Danio rerio: one gene and its partners. The protein of the gene in region 3 interacts with the protein of the main gene of each other region in a pairwise test. Links are inferred from orthologs where the notes say so. Each region holds a gene or a part of one and is shown on either strand. Other genes may lie near its edges.

The links.
Region 1: the proteins of lnx2a (region 3) and mylipa interact in binary tests that used the Homo sapiens proteins (3 or more experiments, as listed by UniProt). The link is inferred for Danio rerio from reciprocal best matches to the Homo sapiens genes LNX2 and MYLIP.
Region 2: the proteins of lnx2a (region 3) and scly interact in binary tests that used the Homo sapiens proteins (3 or more experiments, as listed by UniProt). The link is inferred for Danio rerio from reciprocal best matches to the Homo sapiens genes LNX2 and SCLY.
Region 4: the proteins of lnx2a (region 3) and mapk9 interact in binary tests that used the Homo sapiens proteins (3 or more experiments, as listed by UniProt). The link is inferred for Danio rerio from reciprocal best matches to the Homo sapiens genes LNX2 and MAPK9.

Annotation. Positions count from the first base shown.
Region 1 is NC_133194.1:28,752,746-28,760,498, forward strand, and holds the start of mylipa (E3 ubiquitin-protein ligase MYLIP-A), read left to right. Parts: upstream 1-3,046; 5' UTR 3,047-3,181; coding exon 3,182-3,268; intron 3,269-6,340; coding exon 6,341-6,531; intron 6,532-7,753. UniProt on the Homo sapiens protein: E3 ubiquitin-protein ligase that mediates ubiquitination and subsequent proteasomal degradation of myosin regulatory light chain (MRLC), LDLR, VLDLR and LRP8. Activity depends on E2 enzymes of the UBE2D family.
Region 2 is NC_133181.1:29,762,378-29,770,251, forward strand, and holds the start of scly (selenocysteine lyase), read left to right. Parts: upstream 1-2,621; 5' UTR 2,622-2,691; intron 2,692-3,359; 5' UTR 3,360-3,372; coding exon 3,373-3,479; intron 3,480-3,583; coding exon 3,584-3,693; intron 3,694-4,889; coding exon 4,890-4,990; intron 4,991-6,328; coding exon 6,329-6,512; intron 6,513-7,317; coding exon 7,318-7,445; intron 7,446-7,874. UniProt on the Homo sapiens protein: Catalyzes the decomposition of L-selenocysteine to L-alanine and elemental selenium.
Region 3 is NC_133199.1:25,551,199-25,558,922, reverse strand, and holds the start of lnx2a (ligand of Numb protein X 2a), read left to right. Parts: upstream 1-3,337; 5' UTR 3,338-3,475; intron 3,476-6,737; 5' UTR 6,738-6,842; coding exon 6,843-7,246; intron 7,247-7,724. Other genes in the region: si:ch211-140b10.6 (protein POLR1D-like), read right to left, coding at 758-832, 1,126-1,148.
Region 4 is NC_133196.1:35,025,515-35,032,790, reverse strand, and holds part of mapk9 (mitogen-activated protein kinase 9), read left to right. Parts: intron 1-1,343; coding exon 1,344-1,509; intron 1,510-1,605; coding exon 1,606-1,677; intron 1,678-3,244; coding exon 3,245-3,427; intron 3,428-3,678; coding exon 3,679-3,803; intron 3,804-3,935; coding exon 3,936-3,999; intron 4,000-4,288; coding exon 4,289-4,360; intron 4,361-6,896; coding exon 6,897-7,036; 3' UTR 7,037-7,276. UniProt on the Homo sapiens protein: Serine/threonine-protein kinase involved in various processes such as cell proliferation, differentiation, migration, transformation and programmed cell death.

The DNA of each region.
Region 1 (7,753 bases), on a different chromosome or scaffold from region 3:
GGCAGACCACGGTGAGCAGAAAAGATCCGTCTTGGCATTTGACGCTTGTTGTTTTCTCCAAGCAGCCTCCAGCACACTGCTGTCCTGATGTGATGTTTTTAGGAAACAGTGAGTGAAGTTTGGGGACAGGTGTTGGGACACTGGGCATCTGTCCTGGGGCATCTGTCTCACACAACTCTATACTGCAAGGTCATCCTGACAACTACAAGGCCCGGTCACATCTCTGTGGATATGAGATGACTGTAGGACACATTGATTGTATTTCTCTCAATAGATAATTTCTTACAACAACTTAAAGCGAGACACTCCAGGCAAAAGACTTCCTTCATGCACCTGTCATTTTTTAGATTTGCGGCTTTGGAGAGTTGAAGTGTCTTGAAAAATATCTAGTAAAATATTATTTTCTGTCATCATGGCAAAGATAAAATAATCAGTTATTAGAAATGAGTTATTAAAACTATGTTATTAAGATTTTAGTTATTAAAATGAGTTATTATATATATATAATATATATATTTTTTTTTTTGAGTTTGAATGTAATGTATATATATAATTATTTTTGTTAATCTCTCCAATAATCTTTACATTATTTACAACTTAAATATACAGTGCAGTTAAAGGTTTTGCAAAAACATCAATAACAAAAAGCAAATACATAAATTAATGCTTGTAGTACAAAAAATTATAAATCCTATAAAATTTATATAAATCATTATACATTTTCACTGAGAATATACTATATTCCACAAAATTATTACAAAGAAATGTAACATGTAAGTTACAGACTGAATGAAACATGTAAGTTTAAAGTAGAAAAAAAATATCTAAAATATTAATTTAATTAGAAATATTTGCAGTTTTAAGGGATACACTTATAAGCAAAGTTCAAAACAGTAAACTGTAAAAAAATAAGATTTAAATGCTAATATAAAAATGAATATCATTTAAAATAAATGTAAAAAAGGCATTATGGTGGCACAGTGGGTAGCCTCACCTGGGTCAGTTGGCATTTCTGTGGGGAGTTGCAAGTTTGTATGTTCTCCCCGTTTTCCATAGGTTTCTTCCGGGTGCTCTGGTTTCCCTCACAAGTCCTTAACATGTGGAATAGGTGAATTGGGTAGGTTAAATTGTCAGTAGTATATGTGTGTGAATGAGTTTGTGTGGATGTTTACCAGTGATGGATTGCAGCAGGAAGGGCATCTGCTGCATAATACATGTGCTGGATAAGTTGGTGGTTCATTCCGCTGTGGCGACCCCAGATTAATAGAAGGACTAAGCCGAAAAGAAAATTATATATTATAAAATAAGAAAATAATATTTTTTGTAAGACAAATCTGTCCCTCACAGATAGTGAGTGAGTCTCTGTTTAGAATAGACATGATTTTATGATCACACTTACACATTAATCCTAGCAAATTTCTCTTGTGTGAGAAAGTGGCATGAGAAAGAGAAGTATGGAAAAAAATATTAGTTCATTTTTTGCCCTATACCTGCAGTGTGTTTCCTTAAATATTCATTATCAAAAGCTTTCTGCTGATGTCTCACTCATAGCGTCAGCGTGCTGCTCTAGGGAGAGTTGTGGGCAAACATGCATAATACATGTAAAGTGTAATCTCCAGTCAGCAACAGACTGGCACTCACTCTAGTCGTCCTCTGGCACTGGACACGACCGCAGACTCTGGCGTAGGGCCACTTTCTCACTCAAGAGAAATTTGCTAGTGTAAGTGTGATCATAAAATGGTGTCTATTATAAAGAGAGACTCACTAACACTGTCTGTGAAGGACAGATTTGTCTTACATAATATATATTATTTACATTTATTTTAAATAATTTTAGTTTTTGTTTTAGTATGTATATGTATAACTGCAAATATCAAAGATTAAATAAATATTTTTATTATTTAAATTTTTTAATTTTAACTTACAGTCTGTTACTTACCTGTTCTTTGTAATTATTTGTGGAATATAGTAATTTCTGAGCGAACAAATGTATGATTCATTCATTCATTCATTTTCTTGTCATCTTAGTCCCTTTATTAATCAGGGGTCGCCACAGCGGAATGAACCACCAGCTTATCCAGCAAGTTTTTACGCAGCGGATGCCCTTCCAGACGCAACCCATCTCTGGGAAACATCTACACACACATTCACACACACACTCATACACTACGGACAATTTACAGTAGCTTACCCAATTCACCTGTTCCGCATGTCTTTGGACTGTGGGGGAAACCGGAGCAAACCCATGCGATGGCAGGGAAAACATGCAAACTCCACACAGAAACGCCAACTGAGCCGAGGTTTAAACCAGCAACCCAGCGACATTCTTGCTGTGAGGTGACAGCACTACCTACTGCGCCACTGCCTCGCCCACAAATGTATGATGATTTATATAATTTTTATATGATTTATGTTATTTTTTTATTATGGAGTTGTATTACAAATATTAATTTATGTATTTGATTTTTGTTATTGATGTTTGTGCAAACTTTTTGCCCTGAGTAACAAAAAGAAAGCAATTAACAAAAACAATAACATATTTTTAATGTTTAATTCAAAGTGTAGCAAAAGATGTAACAGATATAATAAAAAAAATAACAAAATATTATGTCTTATTTTGTTGTGTTAGAAACTTGATTTATGTGATATTATACATTTTATGTGATTTTTTTTTTACATTTCAGTAGGCCTAAATATGCATTTGTAGGTCATTTGAAGGTTTCATTTCATGGCTTTGTGATGATTTGTTATATATGTAAATATTAGGTAGGCTACATGTAAATAGTATAGTTTTGGTATTTATGTCACCAAGTTTGTTATGTAAGGTTGTCTAAATAAAATCACCTCAAGCATCTTCATACAGCGCACCTGTAGGGGACGCTGGTGGCGACTACAGTGTTCACTACTAAGTGAACATGGCAGGGTTTCTGTTGCTGTCAGAGCGCTCGCTGAATGATCGAAGCACCTCGTGTGATTGGCTGTGGTGGGAGTGGGCGGGGCCTGAACAGCGCCGCTTTTATATAGGAGCAGGAAGCCTTGAGCTTCAGACTGAGAGAAAACAGAAGGATTGAGGAAAGTGAGCGAGGGCTGATGTAGGGTGTTAAAAGAAGACAACACTGAGAGCGGTTTGTAGTGTTTTTCGTACAGGACTGGTAGACCAAAGACGAAACACCTCTCCAAAATGCTCTGCCATGTAACTCGACCGGACGCGGTGGTGATGGAGATTGAAGTAGACGCGAAGGCGAACGGAGAAGACTGTCTGAATAAGGTGAGAGCATGAATGAAAGTCTCAATGTGAAATTTATGTGATGGTTATTTGTAAACTGGTCTAAAATGTCCATCATAGCTATTTTGCATTGCTTAAAATGGCATATAAACAAATGTTGACAAAGAGATGTAGCCTGAGCGCGGAATGAATGAGTTCGAGTCACACATGGAAACTTAATATCAGCATCATTCTGTTTATATCTTTAATGCCATGCGTTTATTTAGGCAAAAATGGCGAATAACATTTAACATGCAAAGCATTTTTGAGTGCTTGCGTCTCTTAAGTCTATGATGTTTATTCAATATATCAAACGACCAAATATAATGTGTTAGCCTACTAATGTTGCTGCGAAAAAACAATAAACAAAAAAAATAATAAAGTTTGCATCATAATTCAAGACACAAGTGTGTTCTTGAAACGTTTTCGTTCATATTTTAGAAAGAGAACGATGTTTGGGGTATTCCCGAACAATAGTGTGCATGTGTGATGGCATCCTCGAGGTTACTAAAGTTCATTTGCTTTAGCAGCAAATGTTTGTCGCGTGCATCGAGGTACTGCTCCTCTCGAACAAATATGAAAAAATTTAAGCTTTTTAACACCTCTTTGCTTGTAACAAATGTTTTAAGAAGGTATCTTAAGTTGTTTTAATTGTACGCTCAACTCAAGCATTTCAATCAAACAATTTAGAAAGCAACAAATCTAATTTGCAGAGCAAATGTGATATACAACGAGGCTCAAGTTTGAATCATTTAATGTAGTTTGCTAAAGTCAGAATGTGATGCCGTTGACTTAAAGTTTGTGTTCGTAGAAGCATGCTTTAAAGCGATATTTAATCCCAGGGCAGTTTAAATGTTCCCTTTAACAGGGATTTTTTTCTGAACTCTGTTATGTAACTGATATTCTGAAGGGGGAATAATCTCCTAAGGCTCATAAAGAAATAATCAGCAATATTTTATTTATTTCAATGAACTGCACAATTAAACCTTATTGAAATGACCTTGTGAATATGTTGTTGTACTACAAACCTGTTATTGAGATAAATGTCCTGATTTCTTATGTTGCAAAAAAAAAATCATACTGTGGCATACAAAAGCTGTTTAGTAGAATTTATAATCTGCTGTTTTTTTACACTCCTCATACAGGATTATCATCATGCTAAACAGCAGTTTTTAACCATAAAGAATTGTTTCACAATTAAGAGAGTTTGTGCTATTTTTAAACCCAGATTATAAAACCCAGCTTTTGCGTTGTTTGCCATACATTGCAGTGTCAAACATGTGCAGCATAAAAAAAAATGCGTTTGTTTGATGTGGAATATATATTGATTTAAATTAAACGTATGATTTGTATATTTTGTTTGCTAAACTTTGTCCCAAGTATATTAAAGTTATAATTAAAATAAATACTATTAGTGTGGCCTTTATAAAAAAGGAAAACATAATTTAATAAATAAAAATGCTCATCATTTTTCATATTTTTAAAGTTTAATTCATAGCGGTAATTGCAATTCTGTCGTAATTAATTTCACAAATGTATTTTTTGTTGTTGAAAGATAGCTGACTTTTACTTGGTATTCATGCCTATATATTTTTTAAATTTAGATAGAAAATTTTAGCAATTCCACAATTTCTGAGTGAAATGTTATTTTTATTGCTAGTATGGCTAGATTGTTAGCTCATAATTAACATGTCAAATAACTATGCAGCTATCTGAGGTAAAGTTTAAAAGTGAATGGGGAACCTGAAACAACAACATACACTGTAAAACCCAAAAGTCTGAAGTTTATTCATTTCTGAAATCTGAAGTTTACTCAATTTATTAAAAGTTAAGTCTATTCGTTTGAAAAAAATTTTAACTCTGTTGAAGATAATGAGTAGGCCCACACGTAATCTGTGCACGCAGATTTTTGGCCCGTCGTGGAGTCTATTTATTTACTTGTGTAAATGTGTGTAAATTGATATTTATTCAGTTTTTAAATTCATTTTAGTAATATTGTCTAATATGAAACTGTTCACATGATTTATTTACAATACAGTTTGTAAAGTTATTTATTTTTTATATTTATATATATATATATATATATATATATATATATATATATATATATATATATATATATATATATATATATATATATATATATATATATATATATATATATATATATATATATATATAATTTTTTTTTGTAGATCTATTGTATAGGAGACTTGCTTTGTTTACCAATTAAGTGGATCTAGATGGATTTGCATTCTAAACATTAAAGTTAAAGCTATTGTTTTTGTCATATTAAGTTTAGTAATGATGCGCCCAAAATAATTCTGCATAAATCCATAGATTTTTTTACAAAATTCTCTGCAGAAATAGCAAAAACAATTTCTGCAGATTATGTCTGGCCCTGGTGATGGGTTAATTAAATGACTCATTACTTCAACTTAAATTGGAGTAAGTTCACAGTACTCGTATAAGTTACTTTTTAAACTCTGATAGTTTGTAGCAATCGGCTTCCTCACTGTTTGAGTTGCCTTAACTCATTTGGTTTGACAGTACCCTGTTGGTTTGAGTTCTCTTCATTTATTGGGTTTTACTATGCTTGAATTGCTTTATTTACTCAAATGGATTAAGTTCACTGTACTCATGTAGATTAGTTTTTGAACTTAAATGGTTTGTTGCAATTGATTTCCTCAAACGGTTTGAGTTATCTTAACTTTTTGGGTTTTACGGTGCATTGTTTTTATATATATATATATATATATATATATATATATATATATATATATATATATATATATATATTGGTAAATCTCAGTGGCGAAAGGTTAATACAAACTATTCCCAATTAAAACATAATCAGAGTAGAGTTTCAAGTTTTCTTTTTCTTTCTTACAAGAGCATATTAATATAGAACATGTGCACGTATGTGTAATTTATCAGAGTTAATCATAAATTTATCTTACTGTAATATTTCATTTTAAAAAAAAATCATACTCTTGAGTTTTGGAGACTTTAACAATGCAAAAAATGTTTGTTTTTTTTTTTGTTTTTTTTTTCCTTGTTAATTCTTGTAAACAGGTATGTCGGAAGTTGGGAATTATAGAAGTGGATTACTTTGGGCTGCAGTTCTCTGGCAGTAAAGGAGAAAACCTGTGGCTGAACCTGAGGAACAGAATCTCCCAGCAGATGGACAATCTCACGCCCTGCAGACTGCGGCTCCGAGTAAAGTTCTTTGTGGAGCCTCATCTTATTCTGCAGGAGCAGACGAGGTACGTACACTCAAAAACACAACAAACATTCATAAAATTAGATCTTGTTTGAGGAAGTTGAGAACATTTCATCATTCTCTGTGGGTAGAGATTGTTTTGAACTTCCGCTTCAGAACAGAAAAGGTTTCAGAAGAAGAGCAACAGGAAGAAAAGCCACTGCGCATGTGGGTGTATGAATATTTAGTGTGAGATCAGTGGAAGCAAAGCCATTTTTCTGCCATTCACTGTATCTAATGTGGATTCAATGCCCGACTTGTGCTGCATCTCGTTTTCTGGAGCCTGCTATAAGCACAAAAAATCTAGGGCAAGTTACATATTAAATATTGATTTAGCAACACTGGTTTTCTCAACTACTGTTCTTTTGGCTGAAGTCATGCGTCTCTGGTAGCAAAGCAGCAAGCGCACGGTAGTCTGTAAAGTACAGTGGTTTGCCCTGTAGTAACCCTGCTCCCTGTGGGTTACTGTAGGTCGTTGTGCGATGAGCGGCAGCAGGAAATGCGATCCCCTGCTCAAAGGCTCCTGCCCACAGAGACTGAGCTGGCGGAGTCACCACCACCTCATGCGTCTTTATTCACTCTGACTCTGGAGTTCTGTTACTTTTCTTTGTCTGAGACAAATGTGGAGCACAGTGCAAAGGATACAAAGATGCAATTCAAGCTCTTGTTGCTGCATTTGTGAACATATCCCCAACCGTTGTTTTAAAATGATAGTTACAGCAGTGCAAATTTCCAATGCATTAAATGTTACATACATTAGGCAGTTTTTCCAAGAATAATAGTTTGTGTTATTTACTCCCCTTTGTGTCATTTGGAATGCTTCTCCTTCCTTGAAAAAAAAAAAAGCAGGCAGCAATTACCAATTACAAACTATGAAATTAATAGAATGTTTTTTAAACGGTACAATAAAAACTACAAATAAAATTACTTCAACTTGAACTATAATAATATTGAAGTAATAGTTCACAATATTGATGAATATGGATATTAAGGTATAAATTACTTTTAAATCACTGAAAAGTGGATGGCTATGTTTGTTTACTAATAAGGTTAGACTTGTTTTAACCTGTCCTGTGGCTTTGTAAGGTGTGTTTTATTGTTTTGTGTTGGCCTGTGTTCCTTTATTGGCAGTGCCAGACTGTAACTAGTATGTTTACAGTCAATGAAATGTACTGTGCATTGTACCGTAGTTAATTATTGTCTGTGGTCCGGGAAAATATGCCATA
Region 2 (7,874 bases), on a different chromosome or scaffold from region 3:
GTGTGTGTGTGTGTGTGTTTATTTTTAGAAATAATATTTGGAAATAATATTTTAAAAATATATTATTTAGCTCACAATTAAGACTTTTCCCAGAATTTCTTCTATCATTATTCGACACTTAGATCACACATTTTTGAATTCTTTCTTGAAATTCAATATTAATCTTTCTTTTGAAGAATGTCTAATTACATGAAATTCTGAATTACTAAATGAAGTCTTTTTTTTTTATTCTTGTAGTGAAAACAGACTTCCATAAAAAGTATAAACTTACGAATTTCATTAAATTGGTTGTTAAATCATATTAGTTATTATTTATTTATTTATTTTACAAATAATGTATTAGGCTATTCATTATTTGCTCTAGTTTTAGCAGAATCCAGGCGTGATGAAACAATTTGTCATGTTACATACATTTACAGACTGTGGTTATGTGAGTGTGAATACTATGTCAACGTGAATATTGTGAGACTGACTAAAAACTAATAACAGAAGTTTGCTGATATTTGTGAGCATATGAGGGCCTTTTGCTAGTTGTAACTTTAATATAAAACTTCTTTTTATTTATTTTTTCAAAGCAGAATTTAATAACACACATTTAATCTTTAAATATACAAATTGGTCCATATAAAATAACTTACGTTTTTACTATGTATTGCTTTGTTTTCCTCCTAAGAAAGTGATTTTCTTTTTTAAAATGGTTTGTAATTTTATAATTGTGACAAAAAATCACTATATATGAATGCATTGGTACTTTCCTTTTTTAAAGAAAACTGTGGCCTGAAATTCATTATTTTTTATTATGTAAATTAATAAACATTTAAGTAAATGATGTACCGAACATAACTGAGAAAATTATGAAAAAAAAAACACTTACAGAAACAGGAATAAAAACTGTAACAGGAATGTGTGTGTGTTTGTGTATGCATGCTTGTGTCAGAGAGAATCCTGTATGTGCTATGTGTGAGAGAGAGAAAGAGGAATATCTGTGTTAAAAGGACGGGCTTTGTAGGTCTTAACACTGAAGAAGATGGAAAGAAAGAATACAACAGAACCGTTAGAGAGAGGAATAAAGAGAGGGTTGCTCATTCCTCTGCAGTATGCCATGTGAGTGTTTTTGGCTCCTACAGTACATAGTATGGGTCTTCTCTATCTATTTTAACATAATAATACAATAATAACATTACTTGTCCACAAACCACTAATAATTTGATTGCTAAAAGCAATTAACTTAACAAAAAACAATTTCCCTAACCTTTCCTAAAAAGCTTGACCCAGTTTGACCCAGACATATTTTTCAATTTTCATGTTACAACCTGTGACTGGCCTTGAGGGTTTCATAAAATAATGTCCTCAAATAAGTAGCAAAAGGATGTCTTCACTGGTCAAACAAACTGTTGACTGTCAGTGGCAAAATTGTCATTTTTTGAGAAAACTATTATTTTAAATATCTTACAACTTCAGCAAACATAATGTGGAAATCAGGTGAAAAATATAATAAAAACTAATATTCATACTACTAAGTAAATACTTCAGAAGATGCTTCACACTCTTGGTGTTACTCCTTCCTGTTACTCTTCAAATACGTAACAGGACTGAATTTTTAGCATAAAATTTGCAATTAAATGCCATTTAGCCACATGCATGCTGTACATGCTAATAGCTTAAAGAAATTCAGGCAATTTTCATGATTTGCCAAATATGTGAATTAGCTATTGTGGTTATAGGCTAGGGTAAAAATGGAAAATATATATCTATAAATATATATATATATATATATATATATATATATATATATATATATATATAAATATATATATATATGCCTTAGACAAAAAAGGGCACTGATATATAAGAGGACTGATTAAAAATTGTGTGTATAAATGTATTTGAGGCAAATATGAGATATAGAGTTACACAACAATCTAAGATTTTAATAATTATATTTTACTGTGAACTGCAGTGTTAGAGACTGGGGACAAGCGAAAAATTTCAGTGTTTTAGGTCGTTTTTAATGAATTAAATTTGTAGTTCTGACGGTAAAGGACACTTTGCTTAATAATAATAACAAGAATGTTTGAGTTACTTTTCTTGCATATGTATACATATTTAGTCCTGGGGAGAGAAAAGGCACTCATTCGGTGAAATAGCTCATGAATAAATCAGTGTAACGTTTATTGTTCACATCATTTATAGAATTAAAAGAAAATCAATTACTACCTACCAATGTCAAGCTATATGTGCTTCATTTTATCCATTAGTATATATTCCCTTAGTTACTAACCATATCGTAGACTATTTGAACGATACTTCCATCCTCACTGGCCTCAAAGTAACTTAACAAAATTACAAGCGCTACTACGAAGAAGGCTCTTAACTTATGAATATTAATTACGTGACGTTCAGCTAGCGGAAGTAGACTATCGAATTAGAAACGCGGAACCCTGAAGGCTTGGCTTATTAGCATTACTACTCAGGACACGACTGGACGCCTTTTCACGTTTATCAAGCAACGTCACCGCGATCTGATTAATAATTCACGAGGCAAGCCTTCGCTATAGTAAAAAGAAAGTGGGACAGTGTGAAAAGAGGAGGGGTTTGTTTTAGTCGTGCGTTTCCGGTTCACAGTATGGCGTGCTGCCGTGCAACTGTGAATCATTGACAGGACAGACATACGCTAAAAGAGTAAGAAAGGTCAGTAAACTAGCAGTAAAATTATATAGGTTTATCACTAAAGTTAGTTATCTCAGCTAACTGTAAAGCGACTGTAAAGGCCATTTTGCTTGTCGGGGTTTGCTCGCATAATGTTAGACAACAGAACAAGTCTCCACGCTCAGTGAATCACATGCATGAATCAAAGTTAGAGATTTTAATAAAGTACATAGAATTTTAAAAGCTTATAGTTATAGCAGTGGCTGGCTTAAATCAAGACATAATTATATGTGTGACCCAGCAAACCTTACAGACTGCATTATTCCGTTATGGTTTAACTTTGAAGCCAAGGTTAACATAAACATTAAAACGTTCTCCCATTTCAAACCTTTATGAGTTTTTCTTTCGTTCTGTTGAACAAAAAATGAAGGTGTTCAGAAGAATTTTTATAAACTTGTGGGCTCTGACATCCATAGTAAGGAATGGACGTCGATTGCTATGGGTTTCCAACATTGCACTAAATATCCTACATTGTATTATACACAAGAAGGAAACTTATAAAGATTTTTGTAAAAAGGGGAGGGTGGGTATACCATGACAGAATTTTAATTTCTTTGAGAATTGTCCCTTTAAATATGCTTTGTAAAATGATTTAATATTTCCCTGAATGTGTTTAGACTCATGTACAATATTTTGCCCTTTTTTATCAGTGTAATCCAGATCATGGCTGAAAAGTTTGACCCACCTATAACCTTGAGTCATAATTTCCCCTCATTACATCACTGGGATTCTCACCTGGATCATCATGCTGTGGCTGATGGACCAGATAGGTAATGAATATGCCAATACAGTCCTATTCTGAACATGAAGTCATCCAAATATGATCTTCCACATGTTTCAGAATGCAATTAATCGAATAACTGTTTTGCTGCAGAATATATATGGATTACAACGCCACCACACCAGCCGATCCAGAGGTGATCAGGGTTGTTACTGATGCTTTAATGGATGCGTGGGGAAATCCCAGCAGTAACTACCTTCCAGGTATGAAGCTGTACAACGTTATTCACATTTAAATAATCCCCGAAAAATAAATGGGATTTGTTCCCCCTCGCATTGATCAAAGATTAGAGTGGAGGGGTAATTCAATTCAATTCAGCTTTATTTGTATAGCGCTTTTACAATGTAGATTGTGTCAAAGCAGCTTCACATAAATGGTCATAGTAACTGGAACAGTGTGGTTCAGTAACTGGAACAGTGTGGTTCAGGTTTTAGTGTTTAAGTTCAGTTCAGTTCAGTTTAGCTCAGTTCAGTGTGATTTAATCATTACTGAGAGTTCAAACACTGAAGAGCAAATTCATCGATGCGTAGCTCTACCAATCCTGAACCATGCGAGGCAGTGGCGACAGCGGAGAGGGAAAAAAAACTTCACCTGATGGGAGTGAAGAAAAAAAACCTTGAGAGAACCAGACTCAGTTGGGCACGACCATTTTAATTTCTCCGCTGGCCAAAAGTCTTGTGCAGAACTTCATTCGCCGTGGTTTATGCTGGAAGATGGCCTCAGCGAAGACTCGTCTGTCCCTGGAGCGTCGCTGGAATCAGACACATGTTCTCCACTCCCCACGACCATCAGCGCAGCAGCAGCTCAGGATATGGCCTGGTCCCGGATATGGAATCCTTGGGATCATCACGTCGCTGGTCTTGGATCCAATCAGTGACTCCGCCTAATCTGAGGACCTCGGGATGAGTATCCCCAGGTGAAAATAGAGAATAAAGAGAATAATTAGCGTAGCTGCTGTTCATAGTGTATATAAGCAAGATGCAGAAGCCAGTGTGGAACCCGCTAGGTGATGCATTGAGTGTATGCTTTACTAAACAGATAGGTCTTTAATCTAGTTTTGAACTGGGAGAGTGTGTCTTAGCCTCGGACATTACCAGGAAGGCTATTCCAGAGTGTAGGAGCCATGAAAGAGAAGGCTCGACCTCCTTTACTTGATTTTGCTATTCTAGGTACTACCAGAAGCCCTGAATTTTGAGATCTTAAGGAGCGAGTTGGTTCGTAGCGAGACAGAAGGTTGGTTAGATAAACAGGAGCTAGATTATTTAGAGCTTTATAGGTGAGAAGTAATATTTTAAATTCAATACGAAATTTAACAGGCAGCCAGTGTAAGGAGGGTAAAATTGGGGTAATCTATCCCTTAAACAATATTTAAAATAGTTTTCCACTGATCTCTGATTAGGTTTGAAAGCCAGAGACATCATCTACCATTCGAGAGATGCCATTGCTAGGATGGTCGGTGGAAAAGCAGCAGACATTATTTTTACTTCAGGAGGAACTGAGGTGAGTCATGAAAATGAGCTTGTTTTTTGTTGTTGTAAAAGATAAAATAGAGCATCCCATTTGTTGATAACTATATAAATATTCCCTGTGTAAGGCAGTCAGTTTATTGACATTTAAGAATGTTTAGCCAAATAAACATTTATGAAACATAAAAGATTATTATGCTCTACTTTAATGACAAGGCTATGTACATTACTTGTTTCTGAGAAAAGTAAAAGCAGTCACAGCAGCAATCGTTCTCCTGTATGTCATGTTTAAAGTTCATGGCACACCCAACTTGGGTATTAAAAGTTTCCCAGTAGTAAATATGTTTTAAGAAGTCGTTAACATCCGATTAAAGACTGGGAAACTTATATTTGCAATAATTCCTTTCTATAGCATGTGAAGGCAGCAATAAAACAGGAGCGTCCAAACCTGTTCCTGGAGAGCCACTGACCTGCAGAGTTATGGTGGGTTCAGGTCATGACAGACAGATATTTATGAATTGAAAGCACATGAATGCAAACACACAATGTTAAAGTTACAAGTGGAAAACTCCCAGAGATTCCGAATTGTGGCTGTCAGTGAAAAAAAAGAACATGTTGCATACCATGGATAGTTTTAGCTTGATTTTCATTGCTTTATCACATTTATGAAATCGTGCTTCACCACACTCAAACCTGAGCGCAAGTATTATGTTTTTAACAGTGTCAAAACATTCTTTTCAGTTTTATATGTCATATTGAATGCCAAGATAAGGCTTATTTCCTTTAAAACATTGCTTAATGTGAAACAGAATATTTAAATACAAGCTATTTACATGTCATTTTGACCCCTAATATAGAGTATTGTAATGCCTCCTCTGACAAAACAGATGCTGTTGCTCACAGATCAGCATAAAACAAAGATCAGTCCATACAGTTTTCCTGTATTTCTTTCATCTGTGTGTATTCACAAACATTAACCCAATAAAAAAAAAAAAAAAAACAATAATCTAGCAAAAACTGCTAGATTTATTATACTTGAAATACAGTAATAGACTAAACAAAAGAGAAAGGTTGTTTCTTGATGAGTCTTACTGCGTGTCAATTTTGACGATTGTCATATAGTCTGATATTACAGCAACTCTAATCTTACAGTGACATGGGGATCATATTTGTAAAGTCTAACAAACTACAGTTGTAAGTACTATTAAAAAGTGCAGAGTTTAGGCCCAGCTTTACCCTTCAAGCAGTAGTCCAAATGGAGCATTACACTTATGTTGAGAGGTGCATTGGATTTACATAATTGAGTTATGTAAAGGGGCCTTTATGGAATGCCACTTAAACTTTATTTAGCTCTCTGTTTCTGAACTTTCAGGCCAATAATCTGGTGTTTCACACAGCGGTTGAGCACTTCAAGAAGAGCATGATTTCAGCAGAGGGAAGCACCTCAAGCAAGCAAACAAATGGAAGAGGCTCTCTACCTCATGTCATCATCTCCAACGTGGAGCACGACTCCATCAAACTCACAGCTGAAAACTTGTTAAAAGAGGGCAAAGCAGGTCAGCAGGACTGGGTTCACTGTATAAAAGTTTGGTTGTGTCCAAAAAATGTATACTCTATACCTCTAGTGCAGGTACTTATTTTGTTAATTAATTATTCCAGAAAAAAGGGTTCTTCTATAAAGAATGAGTGTAATCTGGATGTACTGCATTCACCATATTTTCATAACCATGTGATCTACTAGTGTCAGTTAAGTTGCTTCACTGCCAATCACAAATCCTCTTCTTTGACCTAGCAAAATGTCTATCATACGCATACCCCAAAATCTCTCCAGATATAATAAATAACCGGTGCACTTTTTGTGTTCTGTTTACTGTGAATTTGGGCATACAAATTGGCTCTTCGCATATTGATTTCTGCTTATTATATTGAATAGAAGTATACGTTTTGGATGCAGTCATTGTTTTGTTTTTTGAAGATTTAGCTTTAGGTTACTACTATATAGAGGAATTGTGCATTCAATTATGTTGCTATTTGTGTTAAAGGGATTGTTCTGGAGATTGAAAATTTTCTCTCCATTTACTATCTTTCATACGTTTCTTTCTTTTGTTGAATACAAAACAATCAAAACAAGCCATCTTTCCAAAGTAGGAAGAAAAGATACAATTGAAGTCAATGGCTATTTTTTTCCAACATTGTTCAGTATCAGATATGTGTTTAACAGATAAAAGAAACTCAAACAGGTTTAAATTAAGTAAATGATGACAGATTTTTCATTTTTGGTTGAACTATCCCTTTGATACCGTTTGAATGAAAGCAAAAGTGTTGGTGGTCTGATTGGAGCTGTTTGGATTCTTGTTGTAGATGTCACATTTGTGCCCGTTTCCAAGGTGACAGCACGGGTGGAGGTGGAGGACGTCATTGCAGCAATTCGTCCAACCACCTGTTTGGTGTCAATCATGCTGGCCAATAATGAGACGGGGATTATTATGGTGAGCTTGTTGTAAATATGATAAGAGTTTAAATAATGTATCAAACCACTTTATAGTTAATGTCACATTCATGTGTTTGGAACAAAGATTAATTGCAAGTGTGAAATTGCTTTTATACAATATTTCATGGTTTCTCAGAGTCATGAGTCCATATCAGAATTTTCATCACTGTCAAAGTTCCAGATAGGTTGGTTATAACAAAACTGTTTTTAAATAAACATGCATAACAAATCAACAACAACAACACATTAAAATATATTATTTTTTTAAAAGTATTTACATTTCAGACATCATAGTTTCAAGGCCTTGAAACTATGGCGACAGATCAGTCTCAATAATAACACATTTGCTTTCATAAAATTCATAAATGCACAATACAATTCATAAATCCACAACTCCAATTTGTAAATTCAAAACACAATTCATGAA
Region 3 (7,724 bases):
GATGAACAATATTGTCATTTTGAGACCATTTTATGCCACTTATTATATAATGCCAAAATGACAATATAATAACATCAAAATGCAAGTACACTCTTCTAAAGACCACATAATATTTTATTCTTAAGGATGTTTCATTTAATTTATAGTCATTTTAACTTTAATAATGAGGCAGGGGAATCAGCATGTGAAAACACATATCCTGAATAAATAGTAGTAAAAAGTGCAATGTAAAAAGTAACAGAGGCTGCAAGATCTGCTACCAGATCTATTTTCAGTTGTCAGACACCTGCATGAAAATATACTACAGTAACATAAAGAGGTTGCACCATCAGCTAAAATGTTGCTAGAATTGACTTTTATATATGGGCAATATATATTACATCACCAAAAATGATAGATGTCATGTCAATGTGTTGTGCGATAAGTCGATATATTGATTATTGTGAAAAGCATATTTGATTAGTCACAGTTTTGGCTTTTGTACCTTAAAATCTAAAGAGTTTGTGCAAAATGCATTACTGTAAAGCATTTTATACTACATATTAATTTAAAATACAGATCTTTAAGGGGTGTACTCAGTACTGTATATATACATACACAGGTTTAAGTTCACATCCGAAAACCAAAGTTACACCCTTGTGTGTGTGCGCGTGTGTGTAAAAGAGTGGGGGCAATAGTGGTTACTAATAATAGAAAAAGACTTCAAATTGGTCACTTTAAATATCTGTAATTTATCAATTTAGTGATCCAAACTTACCATCCAGCAGGACCCATTGTCTCGACACGGGCTTTTGCTCTGTTCGCTTCTTTAAGGAGCTCCTCCACTGCTTTTCTGGGGAAATTATTTACAGTGAGACATTTGACGACAGAAACGGGTTAATTTATGTATTACCGTGACCCCAAATTAAATAGCACGTTTAAATCTCTGACGGTGCAAAATAGACTTTTCTAGGATACCGAAATGTTTGCTATATAACAAAAGTATGGTGCTTCGTCTCAGGTTTTGGTTTACACAAATTTACTGACCAATTTGCACGAAGCCGAGGGCGTTAGCATATTCTGCATCGTAAACTAGTCCAATAAACTGGTCAAAAGGGGGAAAATTGACATTTAGAAATATCATACCTTTCCAGTTCACTGTCTTCCATGATCTAATTAACCTTAAACCGCAGTCACTGTTAATTTATAGCTTGTTCCAGCTTGCTAACCAGTAACGTTAGTGTTTACTATTCTCGAGGACCCAATTTAGGACCCCGGTCCGCTTGACCATCTTAGTTTTGACTAAATTTGCGGAAGTGAGCAGACAGTAAAATTCAAACTAAAAATGTAGAAACTATCTGCACTTGGAACAAAAAGTACGTACATTTAAACAGTCTATTTTAGTTTATTATTTGACTTAATAATAGGTTTTACGATCGCACTTTAATCAGGCATCTCGATGGTCACAACTGATATTCGACTAACAGCGCCGTCTGCAGCCTGTCAAACGAACGGTAGTGAAAAAATCAGAGTCATTTCATCAAATGGTTCATTTGAACAGCAGCTCTGAATGGAACAGTTCAACATGTTCCGACGGTTCTTTACGTCATTACATGATCCCAAAGCGCATTACATGACATAATATCTTTACAGTCTTTTTATTTATTTAACTTATGTAATTTATATTTTAGTTTATTTTATGTTATAGGTTACATTTGTAGTTTTGGATGTCATGTTTAAATTGTATATTTGCTGCTGTTTAATAATAATAAAAAAATAATAAATAAAATAATAAATAAATCAATTAATCTCTTTTTATCTTATCTAAATACATGAATGTTGACAATACTTGCACACTTATCACATCTTTTCTATAACTGTGATGTCTCTTACATTTTAGTATGATGTTAGTGACGTGTTATTTGGGCAAATACATGTTAAAAGATTGTATTTGCTCTTTACACACACACACACGCACGCACGCACGCACGCACGCACACACACACACACACACACACACACACACTCATTAGAGTATGTTGGTATGTTGTTAATTTTTACATGCTACAAGGTTAATATTTTATTCATAAACAGAAGTTTGCGAAGTGTATACCAAAATGCTATTAATTTTTATTAGAAATGGAAACTTTGAAAAAGTTTCTAATGCAAATTAATAACAAAAAAATGACTTGATGTTAGATTTCATGAAGTTTTTTTTTCTGGTACTGATCCCTCACTGTAGTCTGATTGTGTGCCAATCTTTTTTTTTTATTACTAGTTATATTTAATTTAATATTTTTACTTGTTATGTTTTTGTTTTAATATTATTTCTGGATGTGGCTTTTTGCACTTATTGTAATGGTCTTGGATATAGTTTGTGTCTGAATTTTTATTAATACATAGTGTTATGTTTTAATGCTTATAATTAAAAAAAACTTGATCAAATATCTTAATTCTAAGTCACTTGTGAGCAATAATTACTATTTAATTAATGTTTTTTTTCTTTAGATATTTATTTAAATTAAATGTATTTAAATATAAGTTTAGATTCACTAAAAACAGAAATGCATTCAGAGGAAAAAAATTATATTTGTTTTCCCAAGTTACTTATATTTGGTTGTTGTTGAGAAGTCACTGGGTGGCGCAGTGGGTTGCACGTTCACCCCACAGCAAGAAGTTTGCTGGTTCGAGCTTCAGCTGGGTCAGATGGCATTTCTGTGCGGAGTTTGCATGTTCTCTTCATGTTGCGTTTGCTCTGGGTGCTCCGGCTTCCCCCACAGTCCAAAGGCATGCTGTACAGGTGAAATGGTATGCTAAAATTAACCATAGTGAATGAGGGTGTGTGTTTTTCAGTGATGGGTTGTGGCTAGAGAAGTTGGTGGTTCATTCCGCTGTATATATATATATAAATTCATGTATTATAAGTAGTGTATTATTAGCTGTTATTGGCTGTAATAAACAGTTTTTATTTCAAGGTCCATAATTGTACCCTAAAGATAATTTGTATTTATAATAAACAGACCAATAAAAAACTAAATAAATAAATGAATAAAATAACTATTTACAATCACATGCTTTAAAAATAAACGTGACCACTGCTGCTGTTGTTGACAAAAGTCATTAGTCAAGTTACATTACTTGCACACTCACGAGCTAAAATTAAATGTTCCCTCTAAATGGATCCTAATGGAAAAATCCCGACAAGGACTCTCGGTTCTCCGTTCAGTGAGTCGGGCAGTCTGTGCTACGAGAGTCGCTCGGACGGACTCATGACCGAATTGTGCAGACCAGTTATAATATTCGATCCATCTGATTTGTTCAACAGAGTCGACTCAAATGAATCATCCGCTCACGAATCAAACACCGCTCCAAGAAAGATACGGGGGTGTTTTGACGTGCGGATGCGGCTCGGGGAAGCTGCGGTGGATGTGATTGAGCTCCATGATTCTCCCCTCTCGGGGCCAGAGTTCACAGCATCCGAGAAGAACGCGAATAGGTAATGTTATTCAGATATTCATATAATCACTCGCTGGTCTTTTATTTCGTATTTTCTTAGATGTCATTGTCGCCCATTGTACTGGCGACGGCACAGAGAGAGAGACAGACAGCAAACGAAAAATTTACAGCGAGCCGCTCTAAACCAGGAATAATGAGGTATCGATATTTGTGCGTGTCATAGATCCGGATTGGATACGCCTAATTAACGAGACAATTCATGCAGGTGGCCTCCACAGACATTTTAATTCAACAGAGAAAGCGCCGTTATTTCTCCTCCCCCCCCCCTCCCTCCATTAATTTATTTTTTGTTGCCTACCTGTTTGTGGATGTACAACCTCTCTGAACAACATTAAGGTCAATGTATTGATTGGGGAAAGGTGATGGGTGTCAGAAATGGTGGTTTGTGGATAGATCTGCAGAATGGAAACATGTCACTGCTCCCGAACGCCGTTTGCTCAGTAAATACAGACTGTGCACAATCAATTCAAAGCTATGGAAATATGTCAGATGTTGCAAGCTTTCCCTGTAGCCGAGATGTTTACAGATCAGCCGTTAGTTGTATTGTTTTGTCGTGTCAGTTCAGCTGAACAAACATTTAATTCTTCATCCGCCAGGCAGCCAGATAAGAGGCGAATGTGCCATTTTGCCAGTGAGAACACAACTGTGACAGTCAGATAAAGATACAAGGATACAACAAGTGAGTGGCCTTGAACAGCACTTGCGGTCAATATCTAAACACTCCCTTGTGATTAAAAGTCTGAGGAGAATGAACATAGGATGGAAACACTAATGGCAGCCGCCCAATGACCATTAAGCATCCCAGCCTTTATGTAATGAAGTCCCACATCTTCGCTATCAAGGCACGAGCTGCTTCTTTTGGTTCAGACTGTCCACATTAAGACATTTACAGTGTGAGCATGGGTATGTGTGTGTGTGATGAGACGTTGACAGGGCTTTGTAGTGGGAACAGAGGAGCCTTGTGTCCTCATGTTTTATTCATGTCCAGCTGCGAGATAAACACAGAGGCAGGTAGTCACGGAGATGCCGTCCACAGAGCAGGCGTGAGGCCGGTCATGGACGCACAGCTGTCGGATAACGTGCATATAGACGATAAGTGTCGTTATTGTTGGCCCAATAGACTGTCCCCTGCTGTTTGGTGGCATTAAATAGGCAATTATCAAGGAATAGTTCAGGAGTTTTCTCTTTCTAGAAGCCACATAGTAAGCATTTTTTTGTTTTAAAAAGATGTCTAAAAGACGTCTAAACATAGTCGTCTTGGCTAAAACAAGGCTACATTTGGACTGTCTAGTAATAAATCGAATAGCCGTCTAGCAGAGGCTATTTTAGAGACAGACCATTTAGAAATAGGTGATTAATAATTATATGAATGTAAACTTTTGGATCTCATACAGCTGTCCCCCCCAGTTTTAAAACGTCCGCTACGCCCTTGCGTCTAAGAACAAGCCAAAACTAGTAATCAAATTAACAGAAATAACTGACTACAGATGTAAAGTCTGTCTAATCTGTCTAGTTTTGGGCTATTCTTAGATGTCTTTTAGATTTTTACTGACAGCCCAAGTTCAGCCTTGTTTTAGCCAAACTGTCTTAGTTTAGATGTCTATTAGACGTCTATTAATCACAAAATTGTTTGCTGGGCATGGACTCCATTAGGCATAGGGCGATAACCGTTTTCAAGGTATACCGCGGTTTGGAAAAGTCAAGGTTTTAAAACCGCCAAAATTTTCTGTTATAATCATTCCTAAGGTGTGTAAGATTTTTTTATTTACATTTTTTTAGGACAACAGTATCTCCAGCAGAGAAGATATCAAAAGATGCCATTTTAAATTGTAAAGGAATCTGTGTTTTTGAAACTGATAAAGACAGCAGAAGTCAATGATTCATTTAAATTCTTTAGCCTGACATGTTTACTGCTCCAAAATACTTTACATGTTTCTCAAAATAAAATATATTTTGTTTAAAGGGGAAAAAATGATTGTTTTTTTTTAGAGCAGTAATCACAATACTGTGAAACCGTGATATTTGTTTCCAAGGTTATCATACCGTCAGAATTTATACCATAATACTACTGAGAAAAGGAACCACCATCTTAAAACGTTTACTGTGTAAGTAGACTATTACAGTATAATTTGCAAGAAAATGACATCCAATATTAACATTACTCATTTTCAGAGTAAAATTAGTTTCTACGCCAATTTCTAAAATGTAAATATTCGAGTATACTACTATAGTTCTGCACTCTTAGATGTATTTTTTTGTGAAATGTATGCATTTGCTAAATCATATCTGTCATTTTACAATTCTTTCACTTATTATTCCCTCAAAGTTTAAAAACTCCAGTTCAAGTTCTCTCAAAACTACAATTGCCTCATAATTTATCTCCCTCATATTTCCATTACTTTTTTCCTTGATCTAAGGAAATATTAAAGGAATAGATCGTGAAATATTAGAAAAAATGCTGAATTAATTTACTCAATGCATAAATCGCAACATAAATCTTCTTTACTATTCTACTAAATAAAAAGCCAACTACATCTTAGATGGCCTTAGAGTAAGTTAACAGCAAATGTTCATTTTTAGAAAAAAGTTCTGAATAAATGGTGATGGTGAGTAAACACAAAGCCAAGGCAAGTTTATTTATAAAGCACATTTATTACACAGTGGCAACTCAAAGTGCTTTACATGAACAGGAATAAAAGAGACAAGTATAAGAAAATATAAACAAACAATAACAGTGATTAAAAACAGATTAAAATGTGTTAAAACAGGTCTTAAAAGAATGAAAAAGAAAAGAAAGACATAATGTAAGCCGTATTCCTTTAAATCTACACAGTATCAAAATCAGAAACAGCCTTCGGAGGAAAGATTTTAATTATAACATAGTAGGTTTTTGATTAATATTTATATTTAATGACTCAGAGGGCTTCCGCTCTGGTTTTTATGAACAAGTGCTCTCCATTGGAATCTTACACAGCATCTGTTTTTCGTCGTCTTCTCTTGCCCCTCCTTTTCTCACTTTCACATGAAAACCTCTTGACTCGGTGCTCCCTGCCTCAATCCTGGATAATTCTCTCTCTGCGGGATTGAAAGATTTCTCTAGGCGAGAGAGCATGAGATTACACTGCCAGATTAATGTGCAGGAGTAAACCCACACTGCTCTGCAACATAATCTCATCCTGGCACACACAAACACTGTCTCTCATTCACAATAGTTACCTCACTGTTTCTCTGCCACCCTTCAGAGTGATGTCACTGTGCCTGCCAGGGGGTGGTCGTCCCCTGCCGGAGTCGCACAGCCTCTGACGCCCGCGGGATGGACTGAGTGAGTGTAGCCAAAGCCGAGAGCAATGGGCAGTCTGGGAGAGGGAGTGGACCCGGGCATGGTGAGCGAAGCTCTTCTGGAGGCCCTTTGCTCTGAATGTGGACAGATTCACCGCACCTGGGAGAACCACCTTTATAACTATCGTTTGGAAGTGGATGATGATTTGGTGTGCCACATCTGCCTTCAGCCGTTAGTTCAGCCCCTGGATACACCATGTGGCCACACCTTCTGTGCCCGCTGTCTGCGCAGCTTCCTGCAGGAACGGGACTTCTGTCCACTGGACCGTGCGCATCTGCAGCTGCAGGTCTGCCGGCGCTCCAGCATTCTGGTGCACAAGCTGCTGGACAAGTTGTCGGTCACCTGTCCGCTCACGCCCTCCTGCTCGCTCAGCATGCCTCGCTGCGACCTGGAGGCACATCTCAAACACAGGTAAAGTTCTCAAGACAAATATTCAGACTCAAATAAGCACTATTTGATGTCAATGTTTTGGTACTCGAGCATTAGGTTATTTTTATCTGATGCCATTGATGTTGCATGAAATTCAGATAGAGGGCAGGAAGTGGTTCTTTTACATAGGAACTGCAATCAGAACATCAAAATGTGTATATTTTATGTTGTTTATAATTGTTTAGATTGGCCAAAATAAGAAATGGCGAACAGCTTTTTATAGACTGCCAAAATTTTTTGCTCAAAAAGTCAAAAAGGGGGGAAAGTTTATGAAAATGTCTGAAAAGCAGAAGAAAAGGAGGCATGTTATCAACATTTAATCAATACATCCATGTGTACAAACTTTTTTTTTTGAACGTGATAATTAATTTAACAGCACCAATAAACCTTATATACAGGCCTAGCTATGTGTATAAAGTGTGCTTAATAAAATTCAGATACAAACACCTCCATATTTATA
Region 4 (7,276 bases), on a different chromosome or scaffold from region 3:
TTTCTGAAATACTCAGACCAGCCATGTTCAAAGTCACTTAACTCGCCTTTCTTCCCCATTTTGTTGCTCTGTTTGAACGGCAGATCAGCAGATCGTCTTGGCCATGTCTACATTTTTTTTTCTGAAAAATTCATAGCTCTAAGGCATTATTCTAAAAACACTAACCCATAAACCATAGGCTATACACCGGTAAAATTATTTTCAGTTTTGAAGATTGAAACAGGCTTAAGAGTAACATGAGAGACATGAAAAAAACTTGCAATGGTTCAGATTTACAAGTTAGTGGTTTGTGTAGTAAATGTTCACAATGTAAACTTAATTTTGGAGCCTACAGTTAATCAATATGTCAGATTCTGGAGTGCATTACAGGTCTAAAGAACATTATAAATGATAAATAATTTTAAATAAAACAAATACATTTATAGATATGGTATATACGTTTAGAATTTTACTCACCTGGGAAATGGAGGCCACGTGAATGGTTTGTGAGCACAATTAAGTGCACACAGCATGCCATATCATCTAATAATTGTAAGAAATAATTCCAAAAGGCAACTGATTTTGCAAAGCCACATAAAACAAAACAAAAATATTATGTATATGCAGAGTTTAGCAGCTAATCAGTCGGAATCAGCTGAGGTGGAGTGATGGCGACCAGCGAGACCTAGCTGTCACTCAAATGGCCACACCCTTAATTATGCAAACTTAATATAACTTAAAATAAATGAAACCGATGAGATAAAAAAAAAAAAACTCAGTTGTTATGAAGGGTAATATCAGCTATATGAACCAAAACTGTTTTTTGTACCAGGCTGTAAACACCTTTTTTTCCCGGTAAAGTTGGCCATTGTAACAGTGGGCTCAAAAAGAAATTTGCTCCACATAGAGCCAGGGATAGCGGAATTTCGATGAATTGCAGTTTCAGTTACTTCCGTATTTGCTTCACGAGGGAGAGCAGGAGGTTGCTGCTTGATTTTAACATGTAGAGGTAAGTGATCCAAAATGATTGTAACAATCATTGACCCCTAAATCTATTTATGTCTTAGAACTGTAAAAATAAAAATAAATAAATAAATAAATAATGCCAACCAGAACAATTGTTTAAACCTAAAATTAAAAGCCTGGTCACATGAGCTGTCACAGTAGGAAAGAATGTAAAAATATATATCATCCAGAGAGTACACAATTCCATATATTCAAGGAGAGAACCCCAAATTTCCTAATAAAGTCTAATAATTTGATTTAATAAGTGAATTTTAAACTACTGAGACCTTTCATTGTGTTAATGTGTGAGATTGTCTTTCAGCATGACAGTATGGGATTGCATTCTCTTTGCTATTCAGGATCTGAAGCCCAGTAATATAGTGGTGAAGTCCGACTGCACTTTAAAGATCTTAGACTTTGGACTGGCCAGAACCGCCTGCACTAATTTTATGATGACACCTTACGTAGTGACCAGATACTACAGAGCGCCAGAGGTCATCCTGGGCATGAAATACAAGGAGAACGGTAATGCTGTTTTTTTTTTTGGCGGTAATGCCCTTCAGAGCCAATGAAGATATTGAAATGGAATTGTGTTATTAATATTTGATTGTCTTTTTGCAGTGGATATCTGGTCTGTAGGCTGCATCATGGGCGAAATGGTTAAAGGGAGCGTCATATTCCAGGGCACTGATCGTATCCACTTAATTCTAAAACCTGAAAAATAAGCAGTTAAGCTTGCATTTTTTGCAATGCTATTTTTAAATGTCAGTTTTATGTTTTAGTTTTTCAAATATGCTCTTCAAATATATATTCATCTGCATTTATTTGATCAAAAATACAATAAAAACTTTAAAAAAAAATTTAAAAACTGAATTTTTATTTTATTTTATTTTTTTTTACATTTAGAGTAACTGTTTTCAACTTGTTTATTAAAGTGAAATAAAATTGTCCCCAAACTGTGAAGCAGATGATGTTTTCATTTTTAATTTCCTTTATAAATACATTAATACCCTAAATAACTTTTTTGAAAAATTATTTAAAGGAACATATTTAGATGAATATTGAAGCATAATATGACACAGAAGCCTGGAGCAATGATGCTTAAAATTAAGCTTTGCATCAGACAAATAAAGTACATTTTAAAACACACAGTATACAACTAATATCTCAATCTGAGTGCTGTTTTAGCAATTTTTTTTTTACTTGTGTTTTTGATCGAATAAATCTGGCCTTTGCATGCAGAAGAGACTTTTTTTAAACATTAATGTTTCCACACTTTTAACTTGTATTGTACAATGCATTATTCTGTTCTAGTAATAACTGCATGCAATTCCATCATGATCCTCCAGAGGTCTGTGAAACCCTCATCTGATAAATTAAACCACACACTACTCCTCTGAATAGTTCTGCAAACTTTTCCTCTCTGGCCATTCTTTTGATTAACCATACTTAATCTTCTTTTTATTCTCCATTGTCTGTTCTATTCAGTAAGGGAATAGGTAATTTAAAAGCAAAAAGTACTGTTTACCAATGCTGTATGCCCTTCTTTCTTTTGTGGAAAGACAATAGTAGAATGAGAAATAATTTGTTGCAAAAACGGTCCTCTGCATGTCATACCATATATTCTAGATGTTCTGGAGGTTTCATTTAATCTAATACTGCAATTAGTAAAAATCCTGACTTTGATTTTGTGCACAACCAACTCACAAATGAAAAGAAACCATTACATAGTAATGTACATGAATACATTCTTTGATGCTATAACTTTTACTTACTGTTACTACTTTTACTTTGATACTGTACTTTCTACTTGCCTTTTATATGAAAGAGCACAAGCTGGATATTAATAAAAAAAATAAAATCTTTAACAGAGCAAAAAGGTTGCTGGTTAGAATCTTGGCTAGGCCAGTTGGCATTTCTGTGTGGAGTTTGCATGTTCTCCCTGTGTTCGCGAGGGTTTCCCCTATAGTCCAAAGACATGCACTATAAGTGTATCAAATAAACTAAATTGTCTGTTGTATATGAGAACAAACATTGGCAGTTCATTCCGATTTGTGGCGACCTCTAAAAAGGAAACTAATGAAAATAAATGAAAAATCTTTTAAATTTTATATTGGCGTCTGAAGAAAAAAATGAATGGGTATACGACATTGGAACAACAGTAGGGTGAGAAAATGGTTAAATTTTTTGGGATAATGATGCCTTTAAAAAAAGCAACTGTTCTTAATTTCATCATCCTCTTTAACTAAGCTGATCTCAGATATTGACCAGTGGAATAAGGTGATCGAGATTCTGGGAACCCCCTCTCTGGAGTTTATGAACCGTTTGATGGAGACTGTAAGGAACTATGTGATGAACAAACCCCAGTTTCCTGGAGTCAGTTTTAATGAGCTTTTTCCTGACTGGGCCTTCCCATCAGAGACGGAGCATGACAAGATCAAAAGTAAAACCATCCTCGCTTTTCTTTCATGTCTGTTTCTTTTTCTACTTTACACTAGCACACTCCTAAAGGCATAATCCACCCAAGAATGAAATTTCTGTCATTTAATCACTCTCCACTTGTATCAAATCTGGTCAACTCATAAAGGTTTAGAACTAAATGAGGGAAGGCTGAGTAAATTATCATTTTTGGGATAACAATGCCGTTAACTGTAAACTTTACTTGACACCCGATTTCTATTCTTTCCAATGTAGCAAGTCAAGCACGAGATCTGCTTTCCAAGATGCTGGTAATCGACCCTGAATGCCGTATCTCTGTGCAGGAGGCTCTTAATCACCCCTACATTCATGTGTGGTACGACCCAGCTGAGGCTGATGCGGTCAGTGCACCTCTGTCTATCTATGTCACTTTGTCCTGCCCAGACTTGCACAAACTGTTTTACAGGGGACGTTTTTACGATGTCAGGGAGGTCTTGGGCCTTGAATTTGTACTGATTGTTTTATGTGTTCAGCCTCCTCCACAGATCTCAGACAAGCAGCTTGAGGAGCGCGAACACAGCATCGAGCAGTGGAAAGGTACAGTCGCCCTCTGCTGTCAACATCTTCCGTTAAAAGCTACCTGTAGATGTAAATAAATGTCTACAGCAGAAATGATCATTGTGGTGTATTGGTTAAATGATTCCAAGGTCATTTGTGTTCTCATTTTAATAAACAGTAATCGGGTTGATTTTGTGTCATTAAAAGATTTTGACATTAAAAGTTCATAATCCTAATGTTTGCTAAAGGGTTTGTAAAAAAATAAAAAACATAGAAATCCACTGAACTCTGTTAATGATTTCTTGGGGTGGGGTTTCCCTCCTTGCAGAGTTGATTTATAAAGAAGTAATGGACTGGGAGGAGCGGAACAAGAATGGGGTACTGAAAGAGGAGTGTTTAGGTGAGTCACATATTTTCTTTAATAGTTATTCTTTTATTATTTAAATAATCTGTATTATGCTGCTACTTTTATTCCAAAGCAGATTTATAATGCATAAAGTGAATGATGCGTATTTAAGGTAATTACTAATGATGGAACAAATTATGAGAGAAAAAATAAGTCTGACTGATCTGCACTGCCCAGCATTGTTCAGGGCACTGATTTCACTCTCCCTCCAGCTCTCTCGCAATCTGAAACAGCTTTTACTAAACGCAAAAATCGCAATGCTATGAAACATGCATCAAACTACGCATCATGGTGGCGTAGTGGGTAGAACGATAGCCTCACAGCAAGAAAGTCGCTGGTTCGAGCCTCAGCTGGGTCATTACTGTGTAATGTTTGCATGTTCTCCCTGTGTTGATGTGGTTTTCCTCTGGGTGCTCCGGTTTCCCCCACAAGTCCAAAGACGTGGTACAGGTGAATTGGGTAAGGTAAATTGTCTGAAGTGTATGTGTGTGAATGAGTGTGTGTGGATGTTTCCCAGTGATGGGTTGCAGCTGGAAGGGCATCCACTGTGTAAAGCAGGTGTGTCCAAACTCAGTCCTGGAGGGCCGGTGTCCTGCAAAGTTTAGTTCCAACCCCAATCAGACACTGGCCTAGCTAATCAAGCTCTTACTAGGCAGTCTAAAAACATCCTTGCAGGTGTGTTGAAGCAAGTTGGAGCTAAAATATGCAGGACACCAGCGCTCCAGGACAGAGTTTGGACACCCTTGGCGTAAAGCATATGCTGGATAAGTTGGTGGCTCATTCCGCTGTGGCGACCATAGATTAATAAAGGAACTAAGCCAAAAAGAAAATGAAGGAATGAAACCTTTGCTTTCAAAAAGCGAAGTTGTTTTTTTGCTGCACCGATCAGATCACAAGAGCAACTCATTCCTGCTATTTGCAGTAGTGCTGCCTTGGCACCGCATTCAATATTAATAATAAAAGTTTTTGTAATCTTAAATGTGGTTATTTCATTGGCTTTTAAGCTGTAAAATGATGGTTATTGAGTTAAATGTAAATATGTAAAAATCAATTAATATTATTTATCACTAGATCTACAGAGGTGGTAATTTTGACCATTTGTAATTTTTGCTGTTTAATAACTTTAAGATAAAACACCTGTATCTATAATTCCATGACTTTTACTAAAATTGTGTATTTTCCTTCTAACATTGATATTTTATTAAAATGAAAAAAAAAAAAAAACACAAAAGAGTTTTTATTTCTACCTAGATAAACCATAGCATGCATTTTGATGTCTGCTACTTTTCCCTGTAATTTTGCCTAGCAACTTCATGCTAACCAAAACAACTTTCTGTTGGCAAAAACATATCTTCAAAGATATGTCTTTCAAAACAGCATGTTTAGTGCCATGAAAAACCTTCTCCCCTGCTTGTGAAAGTGAAAAAAAAAATGGATTCATTCATAAGTGGTCTAATGTTGCCTAACTGTATATATTTATAGGTTGTATTACCAAAAAGGTTGTATTTTTAGGGTAATGACTTAATTAACTATGATAACAGACAATCAAAGCTTAATTTTATAATCTCTGTAGAAGTTTTCTATGACAACATGATGTCTTGTATGAGAGCGGTGACCGCTATTGTAATTTTATTAGCTATAGAATGTTGGTAGTTCCAATCATTCGTTCCTTCATTTTCTTTTCGGCTTAGTCCTTTTATTAATCAGGGGTCGCCCCAGTGGAATGAACCACCAACTTATCCAGCACATGTTTCACGCAGTGGATGCCCTTCCAACTGCAACCCATCACTGAGAAACATCCACACACACTCATTTAGCTTACCCAATTCAACTATAGCGCATGTCTTTGGACTTTTGGGGGAAACCAGAGGACCTGGAGGAAAACCACGTGAACACATGGAGAACATGCAAACTCCACACAGATATGCCAACTGACTCAGCTGAGGCTCGAACCAGCAACATTCTGGCTGTGAGGCGATTGTACTACCCACTGCACCACCTTGACACCCTGTGGTAGTTCCAGTGTTAATGAAATAAAAATAATTATTACAAAGCAGTTTAGGGTTTCCAGCCAAGTGCATGCAAAATGTTGGGTTTCACCCTAAAATTTTTATTTCAGTGCATCCCTACACTGTAAAAAGAATCCTGGTTACTTTAAATATTTAAGCTTAATCAAATGAATCTATTTAACCTATGTTAGACTGACTGAAAACAGCTTGTGTAACTTATACAATTAAGTTAGAACATGATATTCTTGGTTTAATAAGTTTCAATGAACTAAAACATTTAGTGTCACGACTAATTGATCTTTTTTTTTTTTTTGAAGTGTAGTAATTGCAATGACATGAATGCAGCTAAATTTAGTTTCACGTCAAATGCATTTGTTTAGCCTTGATGTTTATAATAAATTCAATCACTTGGAACAGTATGAAACAGGTGCGGGGTTAAATGTTGCCTGCATTCATAAGTATAAATAACACATTACCCTCAGAGACACTCATAGTAATGGATTGCTCTTTGTGCTTTGTAGACGGTACGGTTAACAGCAGCGCCACTCCCTCCCAGTCGTCCTCTATTAATGACATCTCATCCATGTCGACGGAGCAGACGCTGGCTTCAGATACCGACAGCTCTTGCATTGACACCCTCACGGGCCCATTGGAAGAGTGACTCCAGTGACTTCCAGCTCTTCTCCCTCATGTCACATCGCTGTGTGGGCCATGCAGAGGTCTGGACTGAACCGTGGGTGCACGTTCATACAGCTTCAAGTTTACACTTCACTATTGCTTTTAAGGGACTGCTTTTTCCTCTCTTCTCATTCGTGTAGTATTAGCTTTTGAGTTGTAGGCTGATGCTCAGATTACACTCCAACAAAAAAGCATCTTATTTTCTTTTAGATTTTATAAAGGA